Sus scrofa: one gene and its partners. The protein of the gene in region 7 interacts with the protein of the main gene of each other region in a pairwise test. Links are inferred from orthologs where the notes say so. Each region holds a gene or a part of one and is shown on either strand. Other genes may lie near its edges.

Region 1 (4,095 bases), on a different chromosome or scaffold from region 7:
CCAACAAGTACATGGAAAAATGTTCAACATCCCTGATTATTAGAGAAATGCAAATCAAAACTACCATGAGATACCACCTCACACCAGTCATAACAGCCATCATTAATAAGTCCACAAATAACAAATGCTGGAGGGGATGTAGAGAAAAGGGAACCCTCCTGCACTGTTGGTGGGAACGTAAGCTGGTACAACCACTATGGAGAACAGTATGGAGGTACCTTAGAAAACTATACATAGAACTGCCATATGACCCAGAAATCCCACTCTTGGGCATATATCCGGACAAAACCTTCCTTAAAAAAGACATTATGTACCCGCATGTTCATTGCAGCACTATTCACAATAGCCAAGACATGGAAACAACCCAAATGTCCATTGAGAGATGATTGGATTAGGAAGATGTGGTATATATACACAATGGAATACAACTCAACCATAAAAAAGAACGAAATAATGCCACTTGCAGCAACATGGATGGAACTAGAGACTCTCATCCTGAGTGAAGTAAGTCAAAAAGAGAAAGACAAATACCATATAATAGCACTTAGATATGGAATCTAATATATGGCACACATGAACCTTTCCACAGAAAAGAAACTCATGGACTTGGAGAATAGACTTATGGTTGCCAAGGGGAGGAGGAGGAAGTGGGATGGATTGGGAGCTTGGGGTTAATAGATGCAAACTATTGCTTTTGGAATGGATTAGCAATGAGATCCTGCTATGTAGCACTGAGAACTGTGACTATTCACTTATGATGGAGCATGATATTGTGATAAAAAAAGAATGTTACACATGTGTAACTGGGTCACCATGCTGTACAGTAGGAAAAAAATTGTATTGGGGAAATAACAACTTAAAAAAATTTTAAAAAGAGATAACCAATAAATGCTGTCTTGATAAAATGAAATTTTTACCACCTGTTCTACAAAACCATGGAAGTATTGAAGAATCACAGTTATTATTCATGTAAGGAAAGATTGTCACTGAGTTTCTGCTCTAGTGCCTTGGGTTAAGGATCTGGCCATTGCCACAGATGCACCATACGTTGCTGCTGTGGCTCAGATTCAATGCCTCATCTGGGAACTTCCATATGCCATGAGTGTGCCCTCCACCCCACTGTCCTGAAAAAAGAAAGTAAAAAGGAGAGATGGTCTCTAGAGCAGTTACAATTCATTACTATGTGCTAATTAATAGCTAACTTGACTGATTCCTATACACAATACCACACATTTACATCTGGAGACAGTAATTATTTCGAATACATCTTCGAGCCAGAAAGCAAACAAACACATTTTCTCATTAGCAAAACTCCTATCACAAAATTCTTGCACTAAAACTCAGTCATACTTTATCATAGGAAAAATCCTCAGGCAACTTAGTGCTCCTTTACTCCTCTCATTTTTAAAAATTAATCCTACAGTTATCCTTGTACAGTAAAGGAAGAAGTAAATCAAAGGTGATAGGTCTATAGCAGGAATTATTAAAGTGAAGTGACAGATATTTTCATAACAACAACAAAAAAAATGAGGGCTGGCAATTTGGCAATAAGGAAGAAATGAGAAAGCCTGGAAAAAATGAAAATAAGAACTGTAGTAAAGCCAAGTAATAATGTTATGTCACAGTACACAGTCTTCAATTTATTACAGCCTGACATAGTAATTGTTTGCCAGAACAGACTCAGAGTCACCCAAAAAACTTTAAGTTATGACTATACCAAATTGAGGAAGGCAAGGCAGTGTATAACACACTACGGAACCCAAACATGGGTTAAAATTGTGAAGTTATGACATCTAATGGTTACATTTCAGTAGTCTTAGAAATTCTCTTCCACAGAATTCTATTAATATCTTAATCCCGGCCAAAGCTATAGAAATGTAGTTTAACACATCCATTACTAATGAATGGTCTATAAAAATGTCAAGCATTTGATCTTCAAAGATACAAACTTGTCCCATGACCTAAACAGGTCACTGAACTCCTCAAAACATGAATTTCCTCATCCTTAAAATAAAATGTTGGCCAAGACGCTTTAGAAGATCCTTTGCAGCCTTAATATTTTATACATAATCTCAAAATAAGAGTTAGTGAAAGACCAACTTCTTTTTCTAGATGCAATTTACAGTATAAAAGTATAACCAGGGACAAAAAAAATAAAGGATCATGTTTCCAGGTTATAACTTTCATGATTGCATTCAAACTAAACAAAAGTAGGAGAAACTAGAAAAGTACTTTCATACTTTTCCTAACATAGATTCCTTCCAGAAAATGGCAGGTTTTTTCGGTTTTGACCAAGAACCAAGTGCATAGGTTCTAAGAATTAGTTACATTTATCTGTAATTTAATACAATTAAATATGCAATTTAATTTGTAACTTGAAATATAACAAAACCAATATACACTTTTCAAATACGTTTGTCTTACCAGGCATTTCCTTTATGTGGCTCAAACTATGAATGAGATCTTGAGAACTTTCAGGTAGTAAGACTGTCTGCTGATTTGGTTTAAAGACACCAGAAACTAATTTTGCCAATAATTTATTAGAAGCCACTCCAGCACAGCCAGTGAGACTCAAGTGATTATACATGGCTTCCCGCATCTCTGCTGCAATCTGAGATCCAATAAGCAGTCTGATGTGCAAGATGTCACGTAGGTTAATAGCTATAAAAACAGCCATTGTTGTTAAAAGTCACCACCAAAAATTTCATTTTCATTTTTACAAAGGAGTTTAAAAAAGATAAAGGGCTTAATGTATATCCATTCCCATACCCCAACACCACCATGCTGCTATACACTTAACTAGTCTCTTTTGTTCTCCACAGCAATTCTGTAAAGCAAGTAACTATCGCAAGTTAATTCCAAGGGCCTGTGACCGTGAATGCCTACTAGGAGTGCTTAATGACTAACAGATTACAGTAACTGATCTCTCATTAAAAATTCCTACTGGCATTAGTAAAACTTTTACTCATGTTTACCTGGAAGTAAGCATAAAAGTAAAAGTATTACTCTAATGAGAAAGCTTTAAAGATCTGAATCTAAACTTAAACATTAGTGGTATGTACTACTGAGAACACTTTTGGATTTATATTTAGTCTAAGAGATCTTTTATTAAAAGTATAGGGAAATTATACAGAAACAAATTTTCTGAGGTATGAAAATGGTATTAAAGTTTATATGAGGAGTTTCCATAGCGGCACAGTGGAAATGAATCTGACTAGAAACCATGAGGTTTCGGGTTCGATCCCTGGCCTCACTCAGTGGGTTAAGGATCTGGCATTGCTGTAGCTGTGGCATAAGCTGGCAGCTGTAGCTCCGATTAGACCCCTAGCCTGGGAACCTCCATATGCTGCAAGTGTGGTCCTAAAAAGCAAAAAAAAAAAAAAAAAAAAAGAGTTTATATGAGAGAGTTCTTATCCTCAGGAGTTTCTGAAGTTCATGATGCCTGTAATTTACTTTCAAATGGTTCTCAATATATCAACCAACCAATAAACAGAACACAAGATAAAGAAAATGTGGCAAAATGATAATAATGGGTACATCTACAAGGAAGAGCATCTTGACTGTACTCACTGTATTATTCTGTCAACTTTTCGATAGATTTGAAATTTTTTTTTTAACAAAAGGGTATGGGGAGGAGAAAGAATTCTTGAAGAATTAGACATTTTAGGAAATAAAATCTAGTTCTCGCTAATATGTTCCAATCAATAGAATCCAAGTTTGCTTTAACAATTATACAGAAACACAGAAACTTCTTGCTACCAAGACCTTGTAAGTGACAAAAGAGGACAGGTACAAGACACATTGAAGCTTCATATCTTCTTCTAAAAGAGAACTGTAGCTCTACCTCTGTTCTTTAATATCAGGAGGTGGAGAATGACTGGCGATTGATCACACAGCCCTCAAAAAAGAAGCATAAGAGGAAACATTTATGGCTGGCTGAGACCTAGAAGCAAGTAAGTCAGGACAAGTCTTACACAAAAGCAGAGTAGCTTGTCTTCTATGTGGAAGTCACCAGCAGTCATAAGATGTCTAAAAGTCTAATTAGATATTTAGGGGAGCTGACTGCGGCTTATATTCGCATGGAAATATCATCAG
Region 2 (2,884 bases), on a different chromosome or scaffold from region 7:
GTCACAGACCTCTTTTGCATCCATCCTGTCTCTGCTGCCTCAGTCTATCCCTAGAATGTCCCTCAGTGGGCTGGGGGATTAGGAGGGATGGTGTGTCCACGGTGGCCAGCAGGTTCCGGATCTAGAGGCTGCAGCGCCCTTGGCGGTGCTTAGTGCTGGGTTTGGGCTCCAGAGCAGAAAGCAAAGATGTGTGTCAGACCAACCTAGGGTGGCGTAACCCAGGCTGCCAATGCCCCCTCTTTCCTAGAGGTGGGGGGAGGGTGAGGCCCAGGCTGGAGTTCTCAAAAGGGCTTTTCTCCTTGTTCTGCTGGGCCTGCACGATCGAGTTTGCTTTGGTCACATGCTAGGGCCTGCTGTGAGAAAGTTCTGTTATCACTGGTGTCACTAGACCCAGTTGCTTGGCTGGCATGGCCTCCAGGCGCCAAAATGGGCACTTTCTTTTTTTTTTTTTTTTTTGTCCTTTTAGGGCCACACCCACGGCATATGAAAGTTCCCAGGATAGGGGTCAAATTGGAAATGTAGCCACTGGCCCAGATCACAGACACAAGGCCAATCCAAGCTACATCTTCTACCTACACCACAGCTCACGGCAATGCCAGATCCTTAACCCACTGAGCGAGGCCAGGGATCAAACCCATATCCTCATAGATACTAGTTGGATTCATTACCGCTGAGCCACAACATGAACTCCGGTGGGCCCTTTCTGACTCGCTTTCCTCCCTCCTCCCAGCACTTTTCCACCGACCCAGTGGCTGCTTCTATCATGAAGATCCACACGTTCAACAAGGACCGTGACCGGGTGAAGCTGGGCGTGGACACCATTGCCAAGTGAGTGGGTGGACCCCACCCCTCCCACCAGGGTCCCAGCTCCTAGGCCTCCATTGCAACCTGCTGAGGGAGCCTGGAGGGAGCATGGCCCTGGGAGTGCAGCCAGGCCCCACCCTTCACTCCCCTAAGCCCTTGGGGAGGGGGCTTGGCCTCTCTGGGCCTCAGTTTAGCTATCTCTAAAACGAAGAGTTTTGCCAATTTAGGGGTTCCCAACCCTGACTTCCCTCCCAGAGCATCAGAACATGAAGGAGGCAGGGTTTTCCCCTGCCCCCAGTTCCTCTGACTGAGCAGGTCCAGAGGGGCCCAGGGGTCCATGTTGCCCAGGAGCCTCTGAGCTATCTCTGGGCACCATTATTCTGTCTCTGCCTGCTCCACCCCACCGTGGTGGTTCCTCAGTGCCCCCAGTGGGAGAGCCTAGACTGAGGAGGCCCAGTGATGGGGGCAGCAGGGGTTGGGCTCCGAGGGTGTCCAGGGTATGATGGCAGGCTTTCCTGGGTCACTCGTAGTACAAGCTGACGTGGCTGTGAGCTGCCATCCTTGTTCACCCCAGGTACTTGGATAATATCCACCTGCATCCGGAGGAGGAGAAATACCGGAAGATCAAGCTGCAGAACAAGGTGTTCCAGGTGAGGGCTGCCACCAGACTTAGCCTGGTGTGGCTAGCATGGCCAGGCCCGAGGCCACCCAGGACCCAGTCCAGCAGTAGGAGCAGGTGGCCTGCAGATAGCCAGAGGGGGCCAGAGCCAGGCTGCAGAAAGGCCCCTGCAGGAGTTGGGAGTTGGCAGGTGGGGAGGGGGATTCCTAAGCACAGGTTGTGTACAGTATGCATACAGTGTCTGCTCTCCCCACCAGCCACAGCATGTTTCGGCTTTTCTTTGAATTCATTGGAAACACATCAGCACTGGGGAGATTTTTCACGGACAGACTTCTGGTTTCTGTGGAGAAATCAAAGGGCCTCCCACCCTGGCCCTTTGGTACCTGTGCAGCTGGCAGGGCTCCACTGTTTACTGGTGGCCCCCTCTGAAGCCCAGCATCACACAGCCCACCTCCCTCACTTTTGGGGATTCCCTCGCCCCTCAGCCTCCTTTGCTCTGGTGTTGACCTTTCAGGGTCCCAGGCCCTATGTAAGCTAAGCCCCACAGACAGCTTCAGGGGTTCATCCTCTCTGGGGACAGAGCAGCTCTGAGACCCGGGACTTTGGGAGGAGGATGGGGTGAGCAACAAGGCTGGTGGGGTGCATGGGGGCCTCCAAGGTCCCATATGACCTCTGGTTCTGCTCTCAGGAGCGCATTAACTGCCTGGAAGGGACCCACGAGTTTTTTGAGGCCATCGGCTTCCAGAAGGCACTGCTTCCAGTCCCTGACCAGGGTAAGACGAATAGAGAAGAGCCTTGGCTGAGCCCAAAGAGGGTGGTGGGAGGGGCCTGGCTCAGAGTTGACATCCCTGTATGTCACAGAGGGCCCTGAAGAGTTCTACGTGCTGAGCGAGGCGGCCTTGGCCCAGCTACAGAGTCTGGAACGGCACAAAGAGCAGCTGTTGCACGCCGAGCCTGTGCGGGCCACACTGGCCCGTCAGTGCCGGGTCTTCCGGCCCTCGCCCCTGGCCTCCCAGTTCGATCTGCCCATGGATTTCTTCAACCTCACTGCCGAAGAGATAAAGCGGGAGCAGAGGCTGCGGTCTGAGGCCGTGGAGCGGCTGAGCGTGCTGCGGACCAAGGCCATGCGCGAGAGGGAGGAGCAGAGGGAGATGCGCAAGTACACGTACACACTGCTGCGCGTGCGCTTCCCTGATGGCTGCCTGCTGCAGGGTGCGTGCTGGGCTCTTCCCTGGGGGCTCCGGTGGGTCCAGGGTGGTTCCTACAGGCTTCAGCGCCACTCTGACTGTCCCCCCCCCACCCCCCAGGGACCTTCTACGCCCGGGAGCGGGTGGCGGCACTGTACGGCTTTGTCCGTGAGGCCTTGCAGAATGACTGGCTACCTTTTGAGCTGCTGGCCTCAGGAGGGCAGAAGTTGTCAGAGGACGAGAACCTGGCCTTCAATGAGTGTGGGCTGGTGAG
Region 3 (4,871 bases), on a different chromosome or scaffold from region 7:
CCACAGCTCACAACAATGCAGGATCCCCAACCCACTGAGCAAGGCCAGGAATCAAACCTGCAACCTCATGGTTCCGAGTTGGATTCCTTAACCACTGAGCCACGACGGGAAGTCCTGAACCCAGCTCTTAATTGTCCCCCTGGGATGGAACTGGTGGAGTCCTTTCTCTCTGTACAGAGGAAGAAGGAAGCTCCAAGGTCAGGTTACCATCCAAGGTCAAGTTACCATGTGAGATGAGAAGGCAAGTGCAGGTGGAGCCCCCCTCCCCACACCAGACTCACCAGTGGACAGGATTATTGCCCCCAATTTCGGATGAGGACAGGGAAGCTTAGCCAAGTGACTTGCAGCTAATGAGTGCTGCAGCTGGGACTCAGAAGCCAGCCCATCTTAACCCTGAGCCAGTTTCTCACAGCGTGGCCGTGGCCACCACATCAGAACCCCGACGGGCAGAGTGGTCATCACAGTGTAGCCCCCAGACCCCATTCCAGCCTCCTCAGGTGGGTGGGGAGGGATCAGGGGTCTGCATTTTTGTCTTTTTTTTGTTGTTGTTGTTGTTGCTATTTCTTGGGCCGCTCCCACGGCATATGGAGGTTCCCAGGCTAGGGGTCGAATCGGAGCTGTAGCCACCGGCCTACACCAGAGCCACAGCAACGCGGGATCCGAGCCGCGTCTGCAACCTACACCACAGCTCACGGCAACGCCGGATCGTTAACCCACTGAGCAAGGGCAGGGACCGAACCCGCAACCTCATGGTTCCTAGTCGGATTCGTTAACCACTGCGCCACAACGGGAACTCCAGGGGTCTGCATTTTAACGAGCTCCCCAGCTGGTCCCCACGGGATTCTCCCTGTTTGCCCCTCCTTCCCTTTTCCTCCCCCTAGATGGGAGACTGCCTCGAGGGCAGGCCCAGGCTGAGGATGCCCTGCTGTGCCCCTGGAGCCCAGTGTGTATCTGGAGCACGGCTTCCACTCAACACTCAGGAATTTCCAAATCACAGCTGCAGCCCCCCTGCCCCACCCCCGGCACACACAGCAGCGGAGGTGGAACTGCTCACAGGCCGGATGGAGAAGAGGTGGCCGGGCCAGGCACGTGACGTCAGGGATGGGAAGGGAAGCATCCCCACCTGGTGCAAGGCATCCGCTTTGTTCGTGTGCTTCTGCCGGCTTCTCTGGGCGGCCACCCGGTTCTTCTGTTTCTTCTTCAGCTGTCTCTGATGCTCCTCAGAGTCCTGTAAGGTGAGAGGCAGAGGGCTCAGGGGTCCCTACAGGGGCTGGCGGGCTGTAAAGCCATACACCCTTCTTGAGTTAAGTCCCTGAGGGTCCCCTTTCTCCCAGAAGCCATCTCTGGCTCCCTCGGTGTCCACACACCCCATCGCACACACAGCACCCCTGGGTGGAGTCCCAGTCACCCACATGTCCTACTCACAGCTCACGTTGGGGCAGCACAAGATGAGAGTCTGGGATTCAAACCCAGACAGAACTGACTTCACACCCACACTCTTTTTTTTTTTTTTTCTTTTTAGGGCCGCACCCATGGCACATGGAGGGTCCCAGGCTAGGGGTCCAATTGGAGCTACAGCCACAGCCACTTGGAATCCAAGCCACGTCTGTGACCTACACCACAGCTCCTGGCAATGCTGGATCCTTAACCCACTGAGCAAGGCCAGGGATCAAACCCAGGTCCTCATGGATACAAGTCAGGTTCGTTAACCAATGAGCCACCACAGGAACTCACACCCACACTCTCTTTATCAGCCCTGTTGCCCTGGGCAGGCCTTCCCTGTGTCCAGCTGCCTCATCTGCACAAGGGAAGACCAGTACCTTCCTCAAGCGTCGTAAGGCAGACAGCCCAAGGCCAGCCCACGGACCAGGGTTAATACAAGGCGGCCGTTGTTCCAATAGCTATTATTTCCACAGTCAAGGTGTTGATTTCTCTAGCCTTGAGCTTCGTCTGTGAGAGCAGGTCTGCATTCTGATTGGGTTCCAAGTGCCCGTGGCCAGCTCAGGCCCACAACTGAAGTTCATTTATCCAACAAATATTTTTTGAGCACCTACTAGGTGCCATGCACTGAGCTATGGGGACAGAGCAGCAAACCACAGAGAAAAAAAATTCCTGCCCCAAGTTGCTCGCATTCTAGTAGGACAAGTAGCCTTTAATGAATGAATGAATGGAGTCCCTTCTGACAGAACTGTGGCCTCAGAGGTTCACAGCCATGACCGTCCCCCTACACTGGGGTTCATGAAGCTTAGATGAAATATTTGACCCAAACACCCAGGGTTCTGGAAGGTCAGACAAGAGGAAACGCTGGGGACCCCACAGCCCAACCCCCCTCCCACAGATCACTCTGATTTCTGCAAGTTCTGAGTGCAGAAATCTCAGGCAAGACCCTGGCCTCCCTGGCTGAGGACTCTGCTTCCAGGTTCATGGCCACAGCAGATCCCTTCCAGGTGCTGGGGCCAAAAGACAGGAACCCCGGGGAAAGACCTGCAGTGAGAGAAGCAGGTGGGACTCTGGTACCTGGGTCCCGGGAGAGGGGCAAGGCCTCCACCAGAACCATGGCCAGAGAAGTCTCCCATTATGGCAATGAAAGAACAGGTAGGTTAGGAGAGAGCAGTAACCAGAGGCCGGGCTCTGGACTGGAGGCTGGATCTGCAATGGGAGAGCAGGTAAACCCTCATTCCAAGGATGCTCCGAGGAAACTGAGGCCGGCAGGGTCGGGGGGCGGGGGTGAGCCCATGTGAACCAAACTGGCACCGGGCGCCCTGGGGCCTATTCCCCTTCTCCTCTCCTGAATCCCGTCCCCTGTACTCACCATCCCAGTCAGCAGCTCGTCGCCTCTGCAGAGGTGCATGTTTGGAGGGAAAACAGAGGCTCACACCCGGTTCAGGGTGGCCCTCGGCTGCTGTGACCTCCCCGTGCCCTCTGGGGGCCCAAGGAAGTGGCAGCTCTTTAAATCCCCAGTGGCCACCCCGCCCCCAGCGAGCCAAGTTTCAGTTTCTCCTAAAGCCACCGGCTGCTCAGAATCCCGGGCTTGGCTTGGCTCACGTGGCTGGAATTTCCTAACATGAACTGGCCTTCCGGTTGGGCCCCTTCTCTGGGAGGAGGACGGTGGAGGGTGGCCAGAGGAGGGGGCCTGAAGGCCAGGTGCGGGGAAGGTGTTCTGGAAGAGGGAGAGCAGGCTGCCAGGGACAGAGCCGAGAGGAGAAGCCAAGGGGGGACCGAGGGTCACATGGGATATGGGCAAACCCCTGGGCTCTACAATTGCAGGAACCCAGGTTCACAGCCCACCTCTGGCATTTTGGAGCTGTGCAGCTTTGGGAAAGTGACTTACCCTTTCTGAGCCATAATTTCCTCATCTATAAAGGGAGATGATATAGATATTTATTTACAGGCAGGAACTTAAGCAAGATAATACAACCACCCTCAAACCTGGTGAGACCAGTGTGGAGGTGCGTCTGCAAAAATAAGCAATGGCCCTTGGAGTTCCCATTGTGGCGCAGTGGAAATGAATCCGACCAGGAACCATGAGATTGCGGGTTCGATCCCTGGCCTCTGCTCAGTGGGTTAAGGATCTGGCATTGCCGTGAGCTGTGGTGTAGGTTTGCAGATGCAGCACGGATCCTGCGTTGCTGCGGCTGTGGCCCAGGCCAGCAGCTGTAGCTCTGATTGGACCCCTAGCCTGGGAACCTCCATATGCTGCAGATGCAGCCCCAAAAAGTGAAAAAAGAAAAAGCAATGGCCCTTAAACAGGAGAACAGATGGATAAACGACTGTATTTTCATACCACAGACCCCACAGCAGTAGAGAGGGTGGTGTCTAGCGGCTAAGAGCACAGTTTCCAAGGGTATAGACTTTCGCCTTTCTATGCCTCTGTTTCCAAATCTGTAAAATATTTTGTTGTGAAGGTTAGGTAAGGCACAACAAAATTGTTAAGGCAGGTAAGGTACCGGAAACCATGCCTGGTGCAGAATAAGGGCTCAACAAATATTCACAATTATGATACGGTGAAAGAGCCAAAGCTGCACTTAGCCTCATGCCTAAAAGTTCGTAACATCCAATGGCATGAAAATGACAAGCTGCAACAGGATCTGAGCAACATAATTTCTGAAAGGCTGGATAATGTGGATACGGAATTATGTAATAAAAGTATAAAAATATGGAGTTCCCGTTGTGGCGCAGTGGTTAACGAATCCAACTAGGAACCATGAGGTTGTGGGTTCGGTCCCTGCCCTTGCTCAGTGGGTTGACGATCAGGCGTTGCCATGAGCTGTGGTGCAGGTTGCAGACGCGGTTCGGATCACGCGTTGCTGTGGCCCCGGTGAAGGCTGGTGGCTATGGCTCCGATTAGACCCCTAGCCTGGGAATCTCCATATGCCACGGGAGCAGCCCAAGAAATAGCAAAAAGACAAAAAAAAAAAAAAAAGTATAAAAATATGCATGGGAATGAGAGACACAAAAGTCAGAGAGTGGTGACACAGGGGCGGGGCTGGAGGTGGAGATGGACCGAAGGGGACACACAAGGACTTCAGTTGCGTCCGTGATGGTTTGTTGAACTTCAGCTGTGGGAACACAGCTGTCTGTGATAATAATATTATCTACACTTTGGGGTACTAAAATGCTTCACGTTAAGACTTCCATTAAAGACCTAACGAACCCTGAAGCCCCAGGCAAAACTGCATGGTTGTTCCCTAAGAGAGACCGTGCTTGGAAGGGCCAACAGTTTGGGGGTGGCAGAGCCATTAATCTCTGTCCTAGAAGAGCATAGCAACGGATGTACAGAGCAGAGTCCTGCGACCTGCTGACCAGAGCATCCAAAGCATAGTGCCTGAGTCCTGAGTGTTCAAGGCTGACAGAGTGGAATCACAGGAATG
Region 4 (4,727 bases), on a different chromosome or scaffold from region 7:
AAACCTTGCTTTAGAAATCCCACTTTAGGGGATTAATCTTCCCTACCTGTCAGACAGGCTGTTCCCCTACTCCCCCTGCATTTCTCTCCCATTGATCTCAAAAAAAGATTTCGGAGAATAGGAGATAAATCCAAACTCTGCCAGGTTTAAATGTCCTGGAGGTTAAACCGAGGCTAAAGAGACACAACATTCATGGAGAACAAGTACTTTACTGCAAATCACACCACCACAGAGCGACATGCAAGCACCAATTTCCATGGAACCTGGGCCAAACAATAGAAAAAGGGTTTAATGATAAAAATAAGAATGTTATTTCACATTGCCTCCTAAATCTGCAGGCTACCCTCACCAAAAACCACTCCTGGTAAATGCACATTTTTAAGCCCGTGTTGCTTTTTTGGCATGCAAAATATTAAGCAGTTTCTTGTCAGTTCTCTAACTATGACTTGCTTCGCTAATTAAGACTTCAGCCTCACAAAGTAGAGCCCCCCTTGGTCACCCATCACTGTTTTTATAAACGCTTTAGTACAGCAGCTCACACTGAATGTCACATTGGGTCAGTGGTGTTCCTTGTCTCAAGATGGCATTTTTTTTATCAAGTAGCCGAGAGGGTTAAACTCTCTCTCACTATTACACACTGAGAATTTTCAAATGTGTGCTTCTTCTTTGCTTGGTACAGAGCCATAATAAGAAAAACATGTTGCCTTCCTATATAGTATATAAAACCTTTTCTTTTTCCACAAAGTCTTCTTATTCAAGATGTTTTCGTTTACTTACTTCCAAATGGATCTCTATCATTATTTATTACCACCATCACTCCAGGGATCTGAGCCAGAAGTAAACATGGCACTGTCAAAAGCCGGGGAGGGAGGACCCCAAAACTCCCAGCCCATCCTACCCAGGCAAGGCATACAGTCTCAAATCAAGCTTTTGTCTCTTTAGAGAACAGAGCCGTCTATAAAAATGTAGAACGTATATAAATCCTCTAGGAATAAGCTTTTCAACATAGTAACTTATGTTTTGTGTATAAAATACACTCAAATTACAAGGATTCCTCTTCACAGCAGAAAAGATGCCAAACACCCAAATCTCCTCTAATCATAAAATTGTATTCATATTTCGAATATGATTATGTTCTTTGAATTTTCAGCTAACCTAGCATTCCAGAAGGAGGAGAATTATACACAGCTTCCCTACTCTCTCTTCTATGGAGATTATTCTTTTCCTGGAAAAAGAAAATGACCTCCACACAGGGTTCAGAAATTAACGAAAATAACACTGGTTTGCTTTGTTCCTCAGAGATGTCTTAAACTCGACTGGAAACGACGGCAACGTTTAAACTACTCCGCCCCAAATGAGCAACTTTCCAGTTCTTGTTACAACCTTGATTTAAGCAACAGACCCATCATCCTTTCTCAGATCACCCACCTCCAACTCCTCCTTGGCAAACGCAACTAAAAACCGCCCCCGGCCACAGATTTGCGAGGTAGATTTTGCCTGGCAATTAACCCCCGCGTGGCCACTACGCAAACGCTGCGCAGTCGCCAGTAGAGTCCCAGCGTTAAGCCCCCCCTCTTCCCTTTCCCACAGGGAAGCAACTGCATCCCCTGACTCGAAAGCGGGGAAGGTTTCTAGCGGGGCGGGGGCAGTTGCAGAAAACCGCAGGGATGTGGTTAGAACCCCACAGACTGACTTAGAAGATCCAGTTAACTGACTTCGCACCGTGCACCCTGAGCGGTTTATGCTTTAAGGAACAGCGACATAAACGCAAACCCCCTTCCCAAATCAAGTGATCAGGGATGTCTGACGTAATCAGCTCTTGCTTAAACCTAAACGCCCCCCAGGAAAGGGCCCGGTCCTTGGAGCGCGCAAATGGCAGCAGAACAGGAGAAAAGCTTGGCGCTCTTCTTGTGCCTGTCGCCTAATTCTCACCTGCCTCCAGAAATGCGGGCAGTGGGGCGCAAAGCACAGAACGGGCGACGCTGAGACCCACTTAGGTGTCAGGAGCGTCTCTCACATTTCTGGGACTTGAGGCGAACCACCTCAACCTCCAGACCTGGAGGCGCAGCCGCCCTCCCCAGCAGAGGCAGTGAGCGCGAATCCCGCAGCGGGTGCCGGCCGGGGGTTCCCCCCAAGATCAGGATGGCGTGGTCCCCTCTAATCAGGCGGCAGCTCCTGTGCGCCCCAGGGTTCACGCAGCCCAAATGCCCGCGACCCTCGAGAAAAACGCCACCCGGGAGCCGGGTCCGCCCTTCCAGCCCGCCTGAAGGAGACCAGGTCCCCCAGTAGCTGAAAAGCCGCCGGGGGACCCCCATCCCAGGCACAGAAAACGCCACCTCCCGGCGGTGGGGGAGGGGGGTGAAGGGCCAACAAAAGGGAAGCCAAATCCCCTTTCAACCAAGTGGCGGGGATCGGGAGGTGCACTTCCCTTAGCCTGGTCCCGGCGCCCGCGCTGGTGGGGGGAATCTCGCGTATACCGGGGTGCCGCTGTCCGGGAGCCCCGGAAGGTAACCTTGGCGAGCAAGGCGGATGCAAGGTCCTGAGAACTTCGGACACTTCTGCAGACCCGGGGCTGGACCGCATTCACACTCACGACCCTCGGAAACCCCCGGCAAGGGGCTCCTCGCGGGCGCCGGCGCCGCCCGCCCGGCCTCTGGAAACACTTAGCCATCCCCAGAGCGCGCCTTATTGAAAGCAGCCCCGGGCAGCGGGGCGCCGGCTGGGGAACGGAACCCAGGCGGGCGCTGAGGGGCCCCTCCAGGCACCCCTCGCTCGGGAGCACCGGCGCCGGCGAGGCGGCCGGAGCAGGGTCGCGAAGGAAGGGACGGACGCGTGAGCCCCGAACCCCCGTCTCACTCACGGAAGACGTGCTGTAGGGCGGGCGCGGACCAGCGGGTCCTACCTGAGGTCCCCGACACGCAGAGTAGGAGCGCGGCGGCCGCCCAGACGGCCAGGACGCACAGCAACCGCAACGGTGAGCCCCCGGCCATGCCGCGGGCCGTGGGGGCCGGGGCGCGGGGACCGGCGCGGCGCGGGGTCCGGGCGCCACCACCCCTTTCGGCCGCGCGTCCGCTGCCCTTCCTCCCGGGCGCTTCGTGAGTTGATCCCTTTCGAGGAACTCGTGGTCCTCCTCCTCTCCCCGCCCGGATGCGCCGCTCGGCTCCGGCCTCCGGGACGAGCGCGAGGGGCGGACCGCTGGCGAGCAGGGAGGCAGGGTCCCAGGCTCGCCCGCCCCGATGGGCAGAGCAAGTCCGGCGCCAGCGCCCCCTGCCGGAGGGATATGCCTGCGACGGGAGGGGCGCGCGGGAAGCAGGAGCTGGGACGGTGGGCAGCCGCTAGTCTCGGGAGGTGCCTCTCCGGCCCACTCTCGGGCCTGCACCTCCACACGCTTGGCCGCAGAGGTGGAACCTTGGGAGCGTCCAGCCGGACCTTGTGGGGCCTGCCCTTGCCGCAGAGACGCCCGGGACAGTTGACACCCACCCTTAGGAGCCGGGACCTCCGGGGGCCTGGTCATAAATCTGTAACTCAGAATGACTCTGCGCCCCGCCGGCCACCACCGAGCAGATCAGAGAAAGATCTAGTCCCCCAAAACCAGCGACGCGGGAGGAAGAGAACCAAAACATGCAAGGAAAGTAACAGGTCACGTCCTTGCCGGCGCCCTCCCGGGCCCCTCTTCGCCCTGCTACACCCAGTGGGGACAACTGCGACCTTCCAAAATGCTTAGAAACTGCTGAGAGTAGAGCTGCGTGGAAGGAGCCCTCGGGAGTGCGATGCTATCTGAAGCCACCGCGGCTTTGGGTTTACTGTTAAAAGCAAATTGTGTAATTTTACCCATTAAAGGCAGAACTCTGCAGAGCCCCAGAACATGCAGAAGTAATTTGCTTCACTTGTAAAAGACATCTTGAACGCAATTCAAATAGCATATTTTCTTGCTTATTCTTGGTTTTGCTTTAACACATGCAAAGGTCTGGAATTGGAAGGCCTGACCCTTCTGTTTGTAACTTAGGAATTTTCTTTGTTTTTGCTCTCTTGAAGAAAGGAGTCAGAACCTCGGGGGTCTGAGTTGTTTGTTTTGGGAGATTTATCTTTTAAGTGATTATCAAGCAGTTTGGCTTTTTTGCTCAAGTACCATTTCCTGCTAGTTAGGATGAATTCGGGAGAGTCCCGGCCTTGGGTGCTAGGCCCAGAGACCCCTGAGGTTGCCCCCCCTGGAACTGCCCCCTCCACCGCCTCCCACAAGGCAGGAAATAAAAGCCCTCTCGCTGTGGTCTGCTGGCAACGTGGCTGAGCCGGCCCCGCCCACTACCCCGTTCGAATTATTTAGGCCTCTGTCTCCGCCCCGAATCTGCTTAGGGAACGTCTCACACAGTGCTCATTCCTAAAGCAGACTGGGGACTGGGACTGTGGCTGGCCAGGGGCAGCCAGGGATCCAGGGGCGAGTGGGAGAAGATGGTAAAATCATTATCCAACTGCGGCGACCCCGCGCACAGCTGCTCCTCCGGCCGCCGCTTGTGCTTGTGCTGGTCTGAAAGGGGCTGGGAGGCGAGGGGGCTCTTCCCGGTGTTGTGTGCAGACTGCCAGGTGTTTATCTCTGGGGTTTTCCTCCCTTTTCTTCCCCTGGGGGCCCTTTAAGAGTAAATAAGCCTTTCAGAGTTGGTCTGGAAGCACTAGTTCCAGACGCTTCCATTCTGGATCTGGTGAAAAACAAGACGGGGCGGCCGTAAAGG
Region 5 (4,602 bases), on a different chromosome or scaffold from region 7:
TCAAGCTCAGGTTGGGAGTGGGGGCTGTGGGCAGAGCCTCGAGAGCTATAGAACTAGGAGCTCAGCCACTCACCTGAAGCCAGGAAACAGAAGGGATGGTTAGGATGGAATGGCTTTTGATACTGCAGAAATATGTGGTAATTTGGGGTGTGCTGCAGTGTCTGTACAGGGAAAAGCCCTGAATGAAGTGGAGGATTCTCTGTCGCCTGAATTTGCAGTATCCATGGATCCCATTCTGCTGAAGTTACTATGAAGTCAATAGAATGGAGGAGGAAGTGGTGGGGGTGGGTCACAACCCAGCCTTCCTTCCTTCAAATCACATGAGTTGAGTGGGTTTTGAAAGCCCATGACTGGCCCATGATAGGAAAGCATACAGGAAATGTGCAGATTGAAAGTGTCATTAACTTTATCTTCCATACTGATGCCATGTCCTCATGATTCAAAAAGAAACTATTTTTAATTTACATAGTTAATAAGTCATAACAAAGAGAGGACAACATGGTATGAGGACAGTGTCCACGAGACCATAAACTCCATGAAGGCAGAGCCAGTGTAGCCATAGGGATGACACAGGAGATGCTAGTAAATATTTTTCTGGCTGGGGCAGTTGTTAAAGGAATGACTAGAAAAACACAAATATGAAAACTGGGAAATGGAACTATTCATACATATATTATTCAAACCACATTGATTAGCAGATACTAACATAAATTACCATGTTTATTTATTGTAATTGTCAGTTATGATTTTTGTATGACAAAATCAGTCAAATACTGGAATGTCCTATATTCAAACTTCATAGTGTAGTTCCAGAGTACGCGTAAAAAGGGAATTTAAATACTGAAGTATATGTATGTTATATGTATTATTTTAAATAATTAGAACATAATTCTTCAATCAATAATTATAGATATCTTTAAAATCACCTATAATCCTTGGTTCCACCATTCCCACATCCAGCTAGTTTCATTTATCTTTTTCTTCACAGTCTACATGTAGTTTAAAACAATCTATCTTTTCTAATAACAACAAAATCAAGATATGGAAGAGAATACTCATCAGGCATTTTTGCAAACTAGAAATTCAGCCCCAGAACTTAGCTGCCTATTTTATCCAAAGGGAATTTGTTTGAAACAGTATTCTACTGCAAATTAATTCTGATAATAGGCACAGCTTTTTTCAGTGAATAATTCACTTTCTTTCAATACAACACAGGCGTATATAAACAAAAATTCTCTAAGAACAATGCATTTTTCTTTCTAACATGTACTTTTTAAGAAGATAAATGTTTACCTCTCCTTGAACTGCAGATGCGCAAATGAAGGCTCCTTATCCGGGAACACACTCACCAGCTCAGAATCCCCCTGAATATCCTTCAGCAGGATTCTCAGGTAAAACATTAGCTTAAAGAATAAAAAACCAGATTTCCCCTTGTGGCGCAGTGGAAATGAATCCGACTAGAAACCATGAGGTTGTGCGTTCGATCCCTGGTCTTGCTCAGTGGGTTAAGGATCTGGCGTTGCCGTGAGCTATGGTGTAGGTTGCAGATGTGGCTCGGATCTGGCGTTGCTGTGGCTGTGGTGTAAGCCTGCAGACATAGTTCCGATTAGACCCCTAGCCTGGGAACCTCCATATGCCAGGGGTGCAGCCCTCAAAAGACCAAAAAGTAAAAATAAAAAACCAAAATGTATCAATTACTGATATTCCCAAAAGGGTGTCTGTCTGTCTGTCTCTGTGTTAAAAGTGCAGTGATGAAATTGGCAGCATACATCTTTCTTTGACTATATATTATCATAAATATCATTGAAATATTTTTTATTTATACAGGATAGTAAAGGTGTAGTGTTAATAACAGTAGTGAATTGACATTCAGCAAATAAAATATAAGGTCACATATATATTAAACCCCAAAATACATACATTAAGTAAGAGATTTTACTGAGTCTCCATTTGTTCTGAAAATTATGGTCATGCAATCATTTTTAGGAAATTTATCTCTGGATGTTTTTGAGTCATTTGTCATCTGGGGTTAATTGTGTTCAGTGATTGTCATGCAGAAGATGACTGGTTAAACCTGGAAGCTGCAGGCAACAGAAAAATAGCTACCTAGGATAATTCTCATTTTTATTTTGTTATACACAAAAATGTAAAAGTTTCACTTTTATAGACATAATCATATCTTGCTTTTCTTTAAAATTTTAATTGAAGTATAGTTGATTTACAGTGTTCTTTCAATTTCTGCTATACAGCAAAGTGATCCAGTCATATATATATATGTATATATATGTATATATATATATATATTCCTTTTTCATATGATCCTCCGTAATGTTCTAACTCCAGAGAATGGACGTAGTTCCCTGTTCTGTACAGCTGTACAGTAGTTTCCCACTGTGTATCCATTTTAAATGTAATAATTTGCATCTACCAACCCCAAACTCCTTGCTTTTCTAAGAAAAGTAACTGGATCATATCACTATAAACCAAGGAATACATTATTTCTTTTGAACCACTGCCTAGGAGGCTTCAGAGATTTTCATTTAAACAAATGCAGTTATCAACATTACCAGAATTTTACCGAATGACAGAGTTCATGGTGCACCCAGATTTGCAAGTAGGCAGGGTACCCACATCTTGAGAGACCATCCTGGGGACTTAGGATCAAAAGGAATCTGTTTGGGCAGAAGGGTGTATGCATTTTGATTCTATTCTGAGCAAATAAATGTGCTCGGGAGATGGATGGATTGTTTACCCATCTAGCCAGAAACATCTCAGTGTAGCCTGGATCTCATCCAGATGTTTGCATTTTAAAAGAATGTGGAGTAAAAAGACTCCAAGACTCTAAGGTGATAGTTCTCAAAAGTGCCTGTACTTAGGTATTACTTGCAAACTGTTGAAAACATTAGCATCAGGGCACTATCCCAGGAAAACAGAAGCAGAAGCTCTGGTTGTGGACCCCTGGGATTGGTCACTTCTTTAAATTTCTCAGGTGATTTAAATAAGCAGCCAGAGTTGAGAATTGCTGCTATAAATTTTTATGTGATTGGTATTTGAAGAATTATAAGCAAATCTATGATATGCACCCAAGGCACTTGGAGGATGTTTTAACCCACCCATTAGCTAAGTAATAGTAGGTGATACATAATTAAATTAGATAATAATCAGAATTGAGAGATTGCAAGAAAAATAGCTCAATTTTATTTCTGAAGTCCAATAATATAGGTACTTTATGATAATGGTGCTAACAATGATAGACTAAAATTAAGAGTTTACTGTGCCTAATGTTGATTAACTAATTTAATTATCAGACAATCTTATGAGGTAAATACCATTAATTATCCCCATTTTTCAAGTGGGAAAACAGGTATAGAAAGACTGAATCAGGCTTCAAAATCTGACTTTTGTTCTGAATAGTTGTGTGGTAGTTTTAAGCAAGTTGCTGTAAGTCCAAGCCTCAGTTTTTAATCTATAAAATGAGCATAATATTTTCTAATTCAGGCAATTTGGAAATTAAATGAAACTATGTGTAGAACATCTAGTGAAATGCTTTACAGTTAATAAAAGACAAATATTTGCTATTACATTAATAATATGTTCACTTGGGCTTTATTTAAATGAAAATATTACCCAAATTTCAAGTGATTCTATAGGCCTAACCCAATGATTTAGGAAATAATTACCTTTTCCAAGAATCTTTTGAAGATTAAATAATGCTAATAATCTAACCATTTCATATCTCACCTTCACTGGCTTGTCTATGGTTTGATGTTTGCACTATAGCCAGTGATGTTTAAAAATACATATATTCATATTATAGGCAGTATCTAATGAATACATCATTGCTTCCTCTTGCATTCAGGATAAAGGTTTTGTTCTGGTCCACCAAACCCAAAGGGATCCTCTGTTTTCTCCTTAACTGCCTCTTAAGCCTGTCTCTTTTCTTTCAGATAGATTGTCCTTTTTTTTTTTTTCAGATTTTCAAAGCAACTGTGTTTGTTACTATCCCCTGCTGCTTGCCTCCTCAACTCCTTTGCATCCATTAGATCTCAGCTGAAGGTGGTCCTCAGGGACGGTGTCTCAACTCCCTCTCTCTCTCTCTCCCCATCCAAACACCTTCCTTTGGCACATGTAGTCACAAAACCCTGGTCTCTTCCTTCGAAGCGCTTGTCTCTGATTCTAGTTAGTTAACCACACTGGTGTAGATCCCTAGAGTAAGGGTGAGTATGAAGTTCTTCTCTCATTAGGCAGTGGGACAGGGATTGCATTCGCATTTGTTATTTGAAATCCCAGTGCTCATCACTCATAAAAACTTTGCAAGACATAATGCAGATCATGGAACTCATTCTTCTGTTTAAATTTCCCAAATCCTATCAGTCACTCTTGGAATAAAATCTAAACTCCATATTAAGTGTGTGTGTGTGTGTGTGTGTGTGTGTGTGTGTGTGTGTGTGTTTATGGCTGCAGCCATGCCATATGGAAGTTCCTGGGCCAGGGACTGAATCTGAGCTGCAGCTGTGACCTGCATCACCGCTGCTGCAGCACAAGATCCTTTAACCCTCTGCACCAGGCCAAGGATCCAACCCATGACTCCACAATTTCCTG
Region 6 (4,095 bases), on a different chromosome or scaffold from region 7:
AGAGACTATGAAATACCTATGAGCCATGGCTTGCGTGAGATGTTTTTATATAGATTTTTTTTTTAACTTAATCCTGAGAACAACTTTGTGAATTATGAGGTAGGTATCATTACTCTATTTTACAGATGAATGTACTGAGAGAGGCTAAGCAACTTACTTTGAGACAGAGGTTTCAGAGTTATTAGAAACAACTTTGTCATTTTACAGATGAAGAAAAGGAAGCAGAGAAAATTTGAATATTTGCTCAAGGTTCTCACCTATTGTTAAAGCAAGCATGAACACTGGGCTCTCATCCTTGAATTCTTCCTAAGTATCTCTCTCCACACTGACTATTTTACCGGTGATTGTCTTAAAACATCCTCAGTGATAGGAGGGATAAACTCTGGTATACAAGCAACTAATACCAGCAATATAATACCAACTAATACCTTTTATCTGACCTAAAATTTCCTTTTTGGTCAAATGGCCAATTTGGACCTCAAGTAATATGCTATTCAAAAGGTAAAGCTGATTCGATAATATAATGGCATTTAATTGGTTGTTAATTCATTTAACATAGACTTTTAAGCTATCTGTTACTTATCTTGAATTCTATCATCCTTTAACCTGAAGAAATGAGACTTCTGAAGAACAGATGCTTGTACTAACATTATAAGGAAAATTTTGATAGTTTTAACATATCATAAGCATGGTTATATCATACTATAGACAATACATTTATTTTGTTGATAACATAAAATCACAGATGACACGGGAACAAAAATAACTATGGATTATAGTCTATAATTTAAGTAGATGGCTGTGTGTTTCTGGTTGTACTAGAACTTCTATAATGGCAGGAACATTGCCAATTCAGACAAATATTTATAATGAATCTGAATTTAACATAGCAGAATGAATAAAATTAAAATATGGCAGGAAGTAAAATAATTTGTGCAGTGACAACTTAAAAGAAATTAAGGCTGCTTTGCATATAAAGACCTAAAGTTGAGACAGTAATTTCTTTGTTGAGAGCAATCAGAACATTTTCTTACCCATTGCTGTAGAAAGTAGATTGTATGAATTATTTTCAGAAAAAGTGTCTTTATTATAGTTTTACCACTATCTTATTCCTTCTAATTTTTTAGAAAGGAAGTGGTTCTGTCAAATAATTTTCCGTATAAAACTAGGGATTTCAAGTTACTCCTTAAAAAAGATTTCAAAGAAGAAATTAAATTTAATTCACAGTCTACTTTGTATTAGGAAAGAGAGGATGACAAATAGTTTAAATTCGCTTCTAAGACTAAGAATTTTGAAGCTAAAGAGCTGTCACAGCCATGTCCCACAGCGATTTCCTATTTATTGAAAAGCACAGCATAATTTTGCAAATTGAAATTTGTGTTTTATTTTCTTTACTCAAGCCAAAACTGAGTTAGCTACATTTTCCTCATTAACAGCAATATTTACCCACCATGGCAACTTCTTGAGCTTACTTTTAATAAATTCTATTACTCTTAATTTTAGTATACTTACATTTAATACTCTATTCTAATAAACTGGCTAACACTCTCTGGCTTCCTTGAGAGTGCTCCACTTACATTAAATCTGGGAACCTATTGAACAAAATTCTTGGTTTCACTAATGACATTTAGCAATATGTTATGTTTTTGGAAGCCAGGAACATTCTAACATAGTCCTTCAAAGAAAATGACAAGTTTAGAAACAATTTCACTGTACTGGAGTGTTTTGGCTTTGAGTTTGAGTGCTAGGTAGTTCAATTCCTTTTCTAGCAAGATAAATATTATGAGAAAAAGATCAAAAGAATTGGATTTTATAAAAGACTTTGGAATCCAAGTTCTTGGTAACTTCTTAATATACTTAAGTTAAAAGGACTCTCCAGTCATTTTCATCTCTTTACAAGATGGTTTAAGAATGATTTCATTCCAGGTGCTAACCTCTTTCTCTCTCTCTCTCAAAAAAAAAAAAAAAAAAAAAAAAAAAAAATCCAGTGCCAATTAACAGAAGCCAAAAAGTCTATTTTTTTAAATTAAGAAAATAAAAATAAAATATACATGTTCTGGCAAAGATGATTTTGACCTATACCTGAGAATTCAGCTTGTTCAGCTGGGATTGAGAAGTTTGATTAATTTTCTGTAGTTCCACTTTTTCTTGATTAAGTCTTTCTCGGTCTGATCGCTCCTTTTTGAAGTCTTCTTCATATATTTGTACCTAAGAAATATTAACTTGCTGTTACTTTTAGCTTCCTTTTCTCTTAAGTAATTTAAATGAGTTCAGAAGAAGTGTTACCTGGGTTTGTCCAATCTGAGATACTCCTGTCCTGTTTTCATGAATATTTCTTCAAGGGGGGGACTCCACCTTGATACATATGGCTATAATTTTATTTTTTCACTTTGTCCAGGAGGGAAGTTTGCAATGTTTTCCTCCTTGAGCATGTATCAGGAATTCAGAAGTAAAATAATAACATGGATACTTTGAGAAAAAAATTCCCCTCACCTCTATTTCATGACACCTCACTCCACTCTCCCCTCCCCCTCCCCAGTGTTGTCACAGTTTTGGGCAAATCATCCGTCCTTAAAACAAGGCTTTGATGTATGAATACTGCTTGAAGTTCTTAAAGACAGTTTACTGACAATAGCTGTTAAGTGAAGCCACTAAATATCGGCATGCCCAAGTTTCTAAATATAACTTATAAGCTGAGCAGAAGATAGAAATGAAAGGCTCATATACATGGGAAAGCAGAGCATGTTTGTTGAAATATGTTCAACAGAGTTGCCCTTTATAAGCAATTGTGGGGGTGTATCATTAAAAAAGAAGTAATGCCTTTTGAGAGGGACTCCAAATATTCCGGAAAAGTAATCAAATCAGAACAAAACAAAACAAAAAAAACCCCCAGATTTAATTATTGTTGTTTTAATTGGCATAGTGTTGACTGATGGCCTGGAGACTAGAATGCAGAGTTATGAACACAATGAAGTTTAAGGAATGAGACAAAGGAATTCCTCTAAAACCAGATTTAAATTACAACTTACATGGGAACTCAGCAGCTAGATTTTGTCTATTAACATTAATGCACATTATACCATCATTGCTAACAGTGCAACAAATTTTAACTAAATGATTATCCAATTTAAGTCAATAATAACAAGACCAAATGTAATAGCCAAGAGAGGAAGAAATTAAACATTTTACCTGACCCTAGAGGCAGATTTTATATATATACTTATTAATTTTAAGGCTTTTATTTGGCAGAAGTGTTGCAAGGGAATTTACCCAGCCAAGCTGACCTTTTGCTCTGTTTTGTTTTTTGTTTTTTGATTGAGAGCTGAGGTTCAAATCCAGATGAGTTAAACCAAGGCTCTGTAAATAATTACCAGAGGCATTTGAAGTGGGAGAAGCCCATCTGATTAGAACAGAACACTCTATCAAACACAACACTGAGAGCGATGTCATCACTTAGGTGGCCAAGATTCTAGTTCAGTTTCTTTGTGAATTTAAATCCTTTAGGGTTTTATGCAGCATTGGTGATATAATGATTGTAGGTGTTCAATTAGAAATGTACACAGTTAAAATGCGAATGTAAAAAGTAAGCAAAAGAGCCACACAAAAACTAAGGAAATTGATTCTGGTCTACTCCTGGGGATTATGAAAAAAAGAAAACCTGCCATTGTTTGTATCGAATATGAACTAAACCATTACTGTAAAGAGCATGTGTAAGCAGGCACACCATGTTTAAGAGCAATTTTCTGGCATGTGGTATATGTTACGTGAGAGCATTGAAGATGACTCAAGTGTTTGAATGTAAGCAGTACTTTTTTCAGAGGAATCCTGGCTAGTGCCAATGGTACTTTAGGGGTTGAGAATTTGGCAGAGATTTGATGTTCTGACTATAACCTTATTCTCTCCATGGATTTATTTAAGCTATATATTTGATCCTGAGTGTAATGAAGCAGATTATTCAAATGGGGTTGATAGAAGAAAAAAAATCAACTTTAAATCAAATGCTCTGAATTTTTTAGATTTATAGATTACTTCCTATGAAGTAATAATAAAGTGAGTAACAACAATATCACAATTGCTCAATACTTCCATGTATTG
Region 7 (4,846 bases):
CCAGAAAGACACCCCAACAACATGTGTCTAAACTGCAACTTCAGGTTAATATGACTAAAGCAGTTACATTGTGAGAAGTGCTGAAGGTATGTGACGTCTTTCCCGGCACAGAGGTGGCCTTGGTTCTTCACCAGATGGTGTAGCCGCCATCTGAGCCACCCATGAAGAAGTTTCCCTTCCGCTGAGTTACGAGGACATTCGCTCCCTGCATGACTGCCAGCTGAGCAGCATTGGGAGGGCATCCAGGGGGAGGAGGCTGAAAGGAAAAGACAAGGTTGATTGGGCACCGGGCAGCTGATACGAGAGAAGTGGACAAAGATGAAAGAGGACCGGTCAGGAAGATGGCAACGTGCTACTTGAGCCAGCAGTGTGGGTGAAGCAGGTCTATATTCTCTGTGAGCCCCAAGACATAAACAGAAAACAGATCCTACCCCTCATTTAAAGGGTCCCAGATCCAAGATAAAGCCTAGGGATCCCTCCTGGGTATGCACAGTCCAGACCCATAAGCATTTGCAGGGTGGAAAATCCCTCTGACTCCCATTCCAAAAAATGGGGAGGGGTTACCAGGTCCATGGCCCTACACCACAGAGTTCCTCAACAGTTTTCACATGGATAATCTGAAGGCTCTACCTGATGACAGCATTCTCACCTCATTGTTAGCATATGGTTACTGCGTGAATGGCCCTAGCAAGGACCATTTGGGCTCTAGTTACCATACATAGGGAAACTAAGTGGGAGACATAGTAAAAGCCCTAGTAAAGTCTTCCTAAAGGGAACTTAACAGGGATACGCATTCTACTTTTTAATCATCATGGCTCCTGATAAAATGCTGTGCAAATATTAAGTAAATGCTTATGGAATGAATGAGGAGTGTTACTAGACCAGTACCAAAGTGAACTGGAAAAGCAGCAGGCAGGACTCCTAAGACAGAAACAAAGGAATCTGGTTAACTCAGACCTCAGTGAATATGCCAGAGGCTACTGACTTCCCACAGTTCTCCTGCCCCCTCAAGTGAATTCTGCCTGATTACTGGACGTCAGTGGTTGCACCAATACCAGCAACTACTGCCCAGGGATGATGAAAGGATGACTATGTAGTCATTTCAGAAAGTTAATATACACAAGGGCTGAGGTTTTTGTGATAAAGGCATACTCACAGGAATGTTGCCAGCAGTAGCGCCAGCTCCAAATCTGGCACCTGTATCATACCCTCCTTCCACCAGCACTGTTGAACCAGGTGGATAGATGGGACCAACTGGATAATAAGCCATGGGGATTGTGGAACCTAAAGGTCCAACAGCCACAGACTGGGCCATGGGAAGGTACAGTGAGGCGCCAGGAAATGCAGCTGACATGGTGGGGACTGTGGCAGCCCCTGGGTGCACAAAGCTCGGACGATAGAGCTAGAAGAGGCAGAAGAGAGGGCAACACGTTACTTTATGACATTCTTATTTCAGATCTCTTTCATGAGGCAATTCTTAATTATTGTGCAGATTACACTCTGAGTTACACAAGTTGCCTTTCCACCAGCCACTCAATATCCTCCTGGATCACTTCCTGCTAGAAATAATGTTGGGCTCAAAGAACGCTAACTCATCTTCTCAACTTCAGCCTGTGCCAAAGAGCAAAATAATCAGATAATGCCTTCTCAACCCCAACTGAAATTGCTGAACTATAAAGAGGTTTTAGATTATCCACGTGAGCTCTCTCTCCTGTTTGTGGAGAGTAAATACATGTGTGGAGCCAGACTTAGCTAAAGACTGAAAATGTGATCCAAGAGTACTCAGTTCAAGTCTAGTAAACTGGAAGCACCTCTGAATAGGCAGGTGGAGCATCAGTATAGGGTGGAGCCTGAGGAAGATGCAAGGTCTGAGGGTACACAGGATTCCCGGGAGGCTGCACCGGGTAGGTTGGCTGCGTTGGATATTGACCTGGAAGACAGGAAAAAAAACAAAAAACAAAAAAAAGAATGTTGCCTACCACACAGAGCAACCAAAATGGGGCAGAGCATACTGGGTAGCTAACCTCACTGAGCCAGCAAGAGGTTTGCAAAAACACTGTCCTAGAGGGCCTGATTCCTGGAACCAAGAAAATAAACACTCTTTGTACCCTTATAACTGAGATGCTGGATTCTAACTGGGCTGGAAGGTCTCTTTACAGTAGCACACTGGTACAAGGGGAAAGTCTATCTAGGCCCAAGATCCTTCCAGAATGGGCATGTCTGCGCACCCATTCCTGTCGATGTTTTAAGTGTGTGCGTCCTCTCTGCTCTGGTGGTCCCCCAGGGCCTGGCTGAAACTGGCCTAGAGCTCGTGAGTAACGGTGTTTGTAGTCCTCCACCTCACAGGTTCCTACTCAAGGTCGACTTCCAAATAAAAAGAGTGGTGAAAGTGAGCCTTGGGATGGGAGAGGAGGTGGAGGCGAATGTCCTAACACAGGAACTGGGAGACGTTCAGGCGGCCAGCGAGGTTAAGGGGAAAGAGACCCTTCGGCCTGCCCGGCCCGCCCACCAGGGCCGGCAATTCACTAGTTAAGCCCTGGGGCCTGCCTGTGGTTCCGGAGCGCGGCGCCCCGCCTCCGCAGGCTCTCCATTGGCCTACCCAAATATCAGCTCTAGCTCCCCATTTGCGCCTGCAGATGCCCATCACGACAAGCCTTCTCGCCCCCCCCCCCGCTCCAACGGCCCCCCACTCGAGCCCGGAGCTCCAAACTGCGCCACAGAGTTTAAGGGGGAAAAGGCCAGGAGGGGGCGAGCAGCCGTAGTTCGGGGATGACGAAGGCGTCTGGCGCAACCCCCGGCACTACAGCTGGCCCAGGAGCGCGGCGCAACTAGCCCCAGGCCTGGCTTTTGATGACCCTTGGTCCCGGGCCCGCTCTCTCCGGGCCAGCACTATTCTCCCCGATGGCCTCAGCTACCCCCTGTCCTTGCCTTTGCTGTTCATGGTGGCTGCGGGTCCGGTTCAGCTCGGCGTCGCGGACGGTTATTTTTTTCGTCCTCTTCCTGTTCGTAGTCACTTCCGTGTCACGTGACGATTCGTCCGCCTAGCGTCACCCGACGCCCGAATGCCGCTGCCACCGGAAACCCCGCCCCTTCGCCAGGTCTCCAGTAGCTGGAGGAAGGACCCGCGTGATCCGCCCACTCACTTTGGCCCCGCCCACTGGGTCGAGCCCTCCAACCCCCACCCTTGTCCCTTGATTGGAAGAAAACAAAGTACAGGTATTGTCTCAAAACAGTATCTTTTCTCTCTTGGTCGCTCTGAGGCAGTACCTTCACACTGCTCCCCGAAACCCTTCCCACCTACGCACTGCAACTCAAGGTCACCTTACTTTGAGAGTCTTTCCACAGGGGGCACAGTGCTACGAATTTCTCTAACTGCCTGAAATACGCTCCTCAAACCCTTGATTTATCCCGTGTTCCCCTCCCATTAAACCCAACTTAAGCCTCAACTCCATAGAGGTTTATTTTGCTGGTCGTATTCACATCTGTCCTTTTCTGACTTAGACCATCACTCGAATTTTCTCAGCCTGTCCATTCTACCGACAGGCTTCTGTGTTTATTTCAGTGTCGCTTTCTCACTAAAAGGAAGGGTATGCTGTGCTGTGAACCCCCCCCCCCCCCACACACACTACAGCTAACACTGAAACTGGCATTCTTGTGGTCCCCAAGGAGTGCCTGTGGCCCTGCCCTTCCTTTGGTACCTGTTACAGGCAACTGTGTGATACCTCATGTATATTTTCCTTTGTGTATCTCCTAAATTAATTGTTCTTGGAGTTCTCTTGTGGCTCAGTGGTCTAAGGACCTGGCGTTGTCGCTGCTGTGGCTCTGGTTATAGCTATGGCAAGGGTTTGACCCCTGGCGTGGGAATTTCTGCATTCCTAGCTGAGGCAAAACAAAACAAAACAAAACAAAACAAAAACCTTGTTCTTAAGGGCAAAGATGGCATCCTTTCAGGCAGCAAATAAGTTTTTCCTTCCATTCTTCGTTTTAAAATATCTGCTGGTGTTGCTCTGTGCAAGTAGAGATGGAGCTGGACAAGACAGGCAAACATTGTTTTCTTATGGAATTTACATTCTATACTTCAGTAAGAACATTAGAAAAGCATCTGAAAAGGGAAAACTTTGGAAAGAAAAGCCCTCAGTAAACCGTAGAAGCCTGATAAATATTTGCTGATGAATGATTTAAACCACTGATTTCAGCTCAGCAATCCCTTGCTTTTGTTTCCAGTAGCATATTATGCTCAGAGTTTTCAGAGCAGAGCACCCCTGCAATGCTCTGGGGGGTCTTCATGAATCTTCACAACAGCCCTGTGTGATAGCCAGGACTTGTTTGAGCATTCCTGGCTTTTTTGTTGTTGTTGTTTTGTTTTTGTCTTTTTGCCATTTCTTGGGCCGCTCCCTCAGCATATGGAGGTTCCCAGGCTAGGGGTCCAATCGGAGCTGTAGCCACCAGCCTACGCCAGAGCCACAGCAACACAGTATGTGAGCTGTGTCTGCAACCTACACCACAGCTCACGGCAACGCGGGATCGTTAACCCACTGAGCAAAGCCAGAGATCGAACCCGCAACCTCATGGTTCCTAGTCGGTTTTGTTAACCACTGCGCCACGGTGGGAACTCTGCATTCCTGTTTTTATTTTTTTATTTTATTTATTTATTTATTTATTTATTTTTTTTTTTTTGGCTTTTTGCTATTTCTTGGGCCACTCCCGCGGCATATGGAGGTTCCCAGGCTGGGGGTCGAATCGGAGCTGTGGCCACCGGCCTACACCAGAGCCACAGCAACGCGGGATCCGAGCTGCATCTGCAACCTACACCACAGCTCACGGCAACGCCGGATCGTTAACCCAC

What was found.
Region 1: the proteins of DAZAP2 (region 7) and POLI interact in binary tests that used the Homo sapiens proteins (3 or more experiments, as listed by UniProt). The two-hybrid records come from large-scale screens. The link is inferred for Sus scrofa from reciprocal best matches to the Homo sapiens genes DAZAP2 and POLI.
Region 2: the proteins of DAZAP2 (region 7) and UBXN6 interact in binary tests that used the Homo sapiens proteins (3 or more experiments, as listed by UniProt). The link is inferred for Sus scrofa from reciprocal best matches to the Homo sapiens genes DAZAP2 and UBXN6.
Region 3: the proteins of DAZAP2 (region 7) and BATF2 interact in binary tests that used the Homo sapiens proteins (3 or more experiments, as listed by UniProt). The two-hybrid records come from large-scale screens. The link is inferred for Sus scrofa from reciprocal best matches to the Homo sapiens genes DAZAP2 and BATF2.
Region 4: the proteins of DAZAP2 (region 7) and ROR2 interact in binary tests that used the Homo sapiens proteins (3 or more experiments, as listed by UniProt). The two-hybrid records come from large-scale screens. The link is inferred for Sus scrofa from reciprocal best matches to the Homo sapiens genes DAZAP2 and ROR2.
Region 5: the proteins of DAZAP2 (region 7) and PLSCR1 interact in binary tests that used the Homo sapiens proteins (3 or more experiments, as listed by UniProt). The two-hybrid records come from large-scale screens. The link is inferred for Sus scrofa from reciprocal best matches to the Homo sapiens genes DAZAP2 and PLSCR1.
Region 6: the proteins of DAZAP2 (region 7) and TNIP3 interact in binary tests that used the Homo sapiens proteins (3 or more experiments, as listed by UniProt). The two-hybrid records come from large-scale screens. The link is inferred for Sus scrofa from reciprocal best matches to the Homo sapiens genes DAZAP2 and TNIP3.

What each region holds. Positions count from the first base shown.
Region 1 is NC_010443.5:103,803,596-103,807,690, reverse strand, and holds part of POLI (DNA polymerase iota), read right to left. Parts: intron 2,662-4,095; coding exon 2,425-2,661; intron 1-2,424. UniProt on the Homo sapiens protein: Error-prone DNA polymerase specifically involved in DNA repair. Plays an important role in translesion synthesis, where the normal high-fidelity DNA polymerases cannot proceed and DNA synthesis stalls. Favors Hoogsteen base-pairing in the active site.
Region 2 is NC_010444.4:74,374,355-74,377,238, forward strand, and holds part of UBXN6 (UBX domain-containing protein 6), read left to right. Parts: intron 1-730; coding exon 731-828; intron 829-1,378; coding exon 1,379-1,454; intron 1,455-2,111; coding exon 2,112-2,196; intron 2,197-2,284; coding exon 2,285-2,635; intron 2,636-2,730; coding exon 2,731-2,879; intron 2,880-2,884. UniProt on the Homo sapiens protein: May negatively regulate the ATPase activity of VCP, an ATP-driven segregase that associates with different cofactors to control a wide variety of cellular processes.
Region 3 is NC_010444.4:7,178,418-7,183,288, reverse strand, and holds the start of BATF2 (basic leucine zipper transcriptional factor ATF-like 2), read right to left. Parts: upstream 3,271-4,871; 5' UTR 2,852-3,270; coding exon 2,813-2,851; intron 1,229-2,812; coding exon 1,055-1,228; intron 1-1,054.
Region 4 is NC_010456.5:3,032,108-3,036,834, forward strand, and holds the start of ROR2 (tyrosine-protein kinase transmembrane receptor ROR2), read right to left. Parts: upstream 3,278-4,727; 5' UTR 2,991-3,277; coding exon 2,903-2,990; intron 1-2,902. UniProt on the Homo sapiens protein: Tyrosine-protein kinase receptor which may be involved in the early formation of the chondrocytes. It seems to be required for cartilage and growth plate development. Phosphorylates YWHAB, leading to induction of osteogenesis and bone formation.
Region 5 is NC_010455.5:86,856,636-86,861,237, reverse strand, and holds the start of PLSCR1 (phospholipid scramblase 1), read left to right. Parts: upstream 1-1,318; coding exon 1,319-1,391; intron 1,392-4,602. UniProt on the Homo sapiens protein: Catalyzes calcium-induced ATP-independent rapid bidirectional and non-specific movement of phospholipids (lipid scrambling or lipid flip-flop) between the inner and outer leaflet of the plasma membrane resulting in collapse of the phospholipid asymmetry which leads to phosphatidylserine externalization on the cell surface.
Region 6 is NC_010450.4:102,971,952-102,976,046, reverse strand, and holds part of TNIP3 (TNFAIP3-interacting protein 3), read right to left. Parts: exon of another isoform or gene 2,209-4,095; coding exon 2,083-2,208; intron 1-2,082. UniProt on the Homo sapiens protein: Binds to zinc finger protein TNFAIP3 and inhibits NF-kappa-B activation induced by tumor necrosis factor, Toll-like receptor 4 (TLR4), interleukin-1 and 12-O-tetradecanoylphorbol-13-acetate.
Region 7 is NW_018085018.1:160,557-165,402, forward strand, and holds the start of DAZAP2 (DAZ-associated protein 2), read right to left. Parts: upstream 3,007-4,846; 5' UTR 2,942-3,006; coding exon 2,929-2,941; intron 1,931-2,928; coding exon 1,812-1,930; intron 1,403-1,811; coding exon 1,157-1,402; intron 257-1,156; coding exon 128-256; coding exon of another isoform or gene 1-127. UniProt on the Homo sapiens protein: In unstressed cells, promotes SIAH1-mediated polyubiquitination and degradation of the serine/threonine-protein kinase HIPK2, probably by acting as a loading factor that potentiates complex formation between HIPK2 and ubiquitin ligase SIAH1.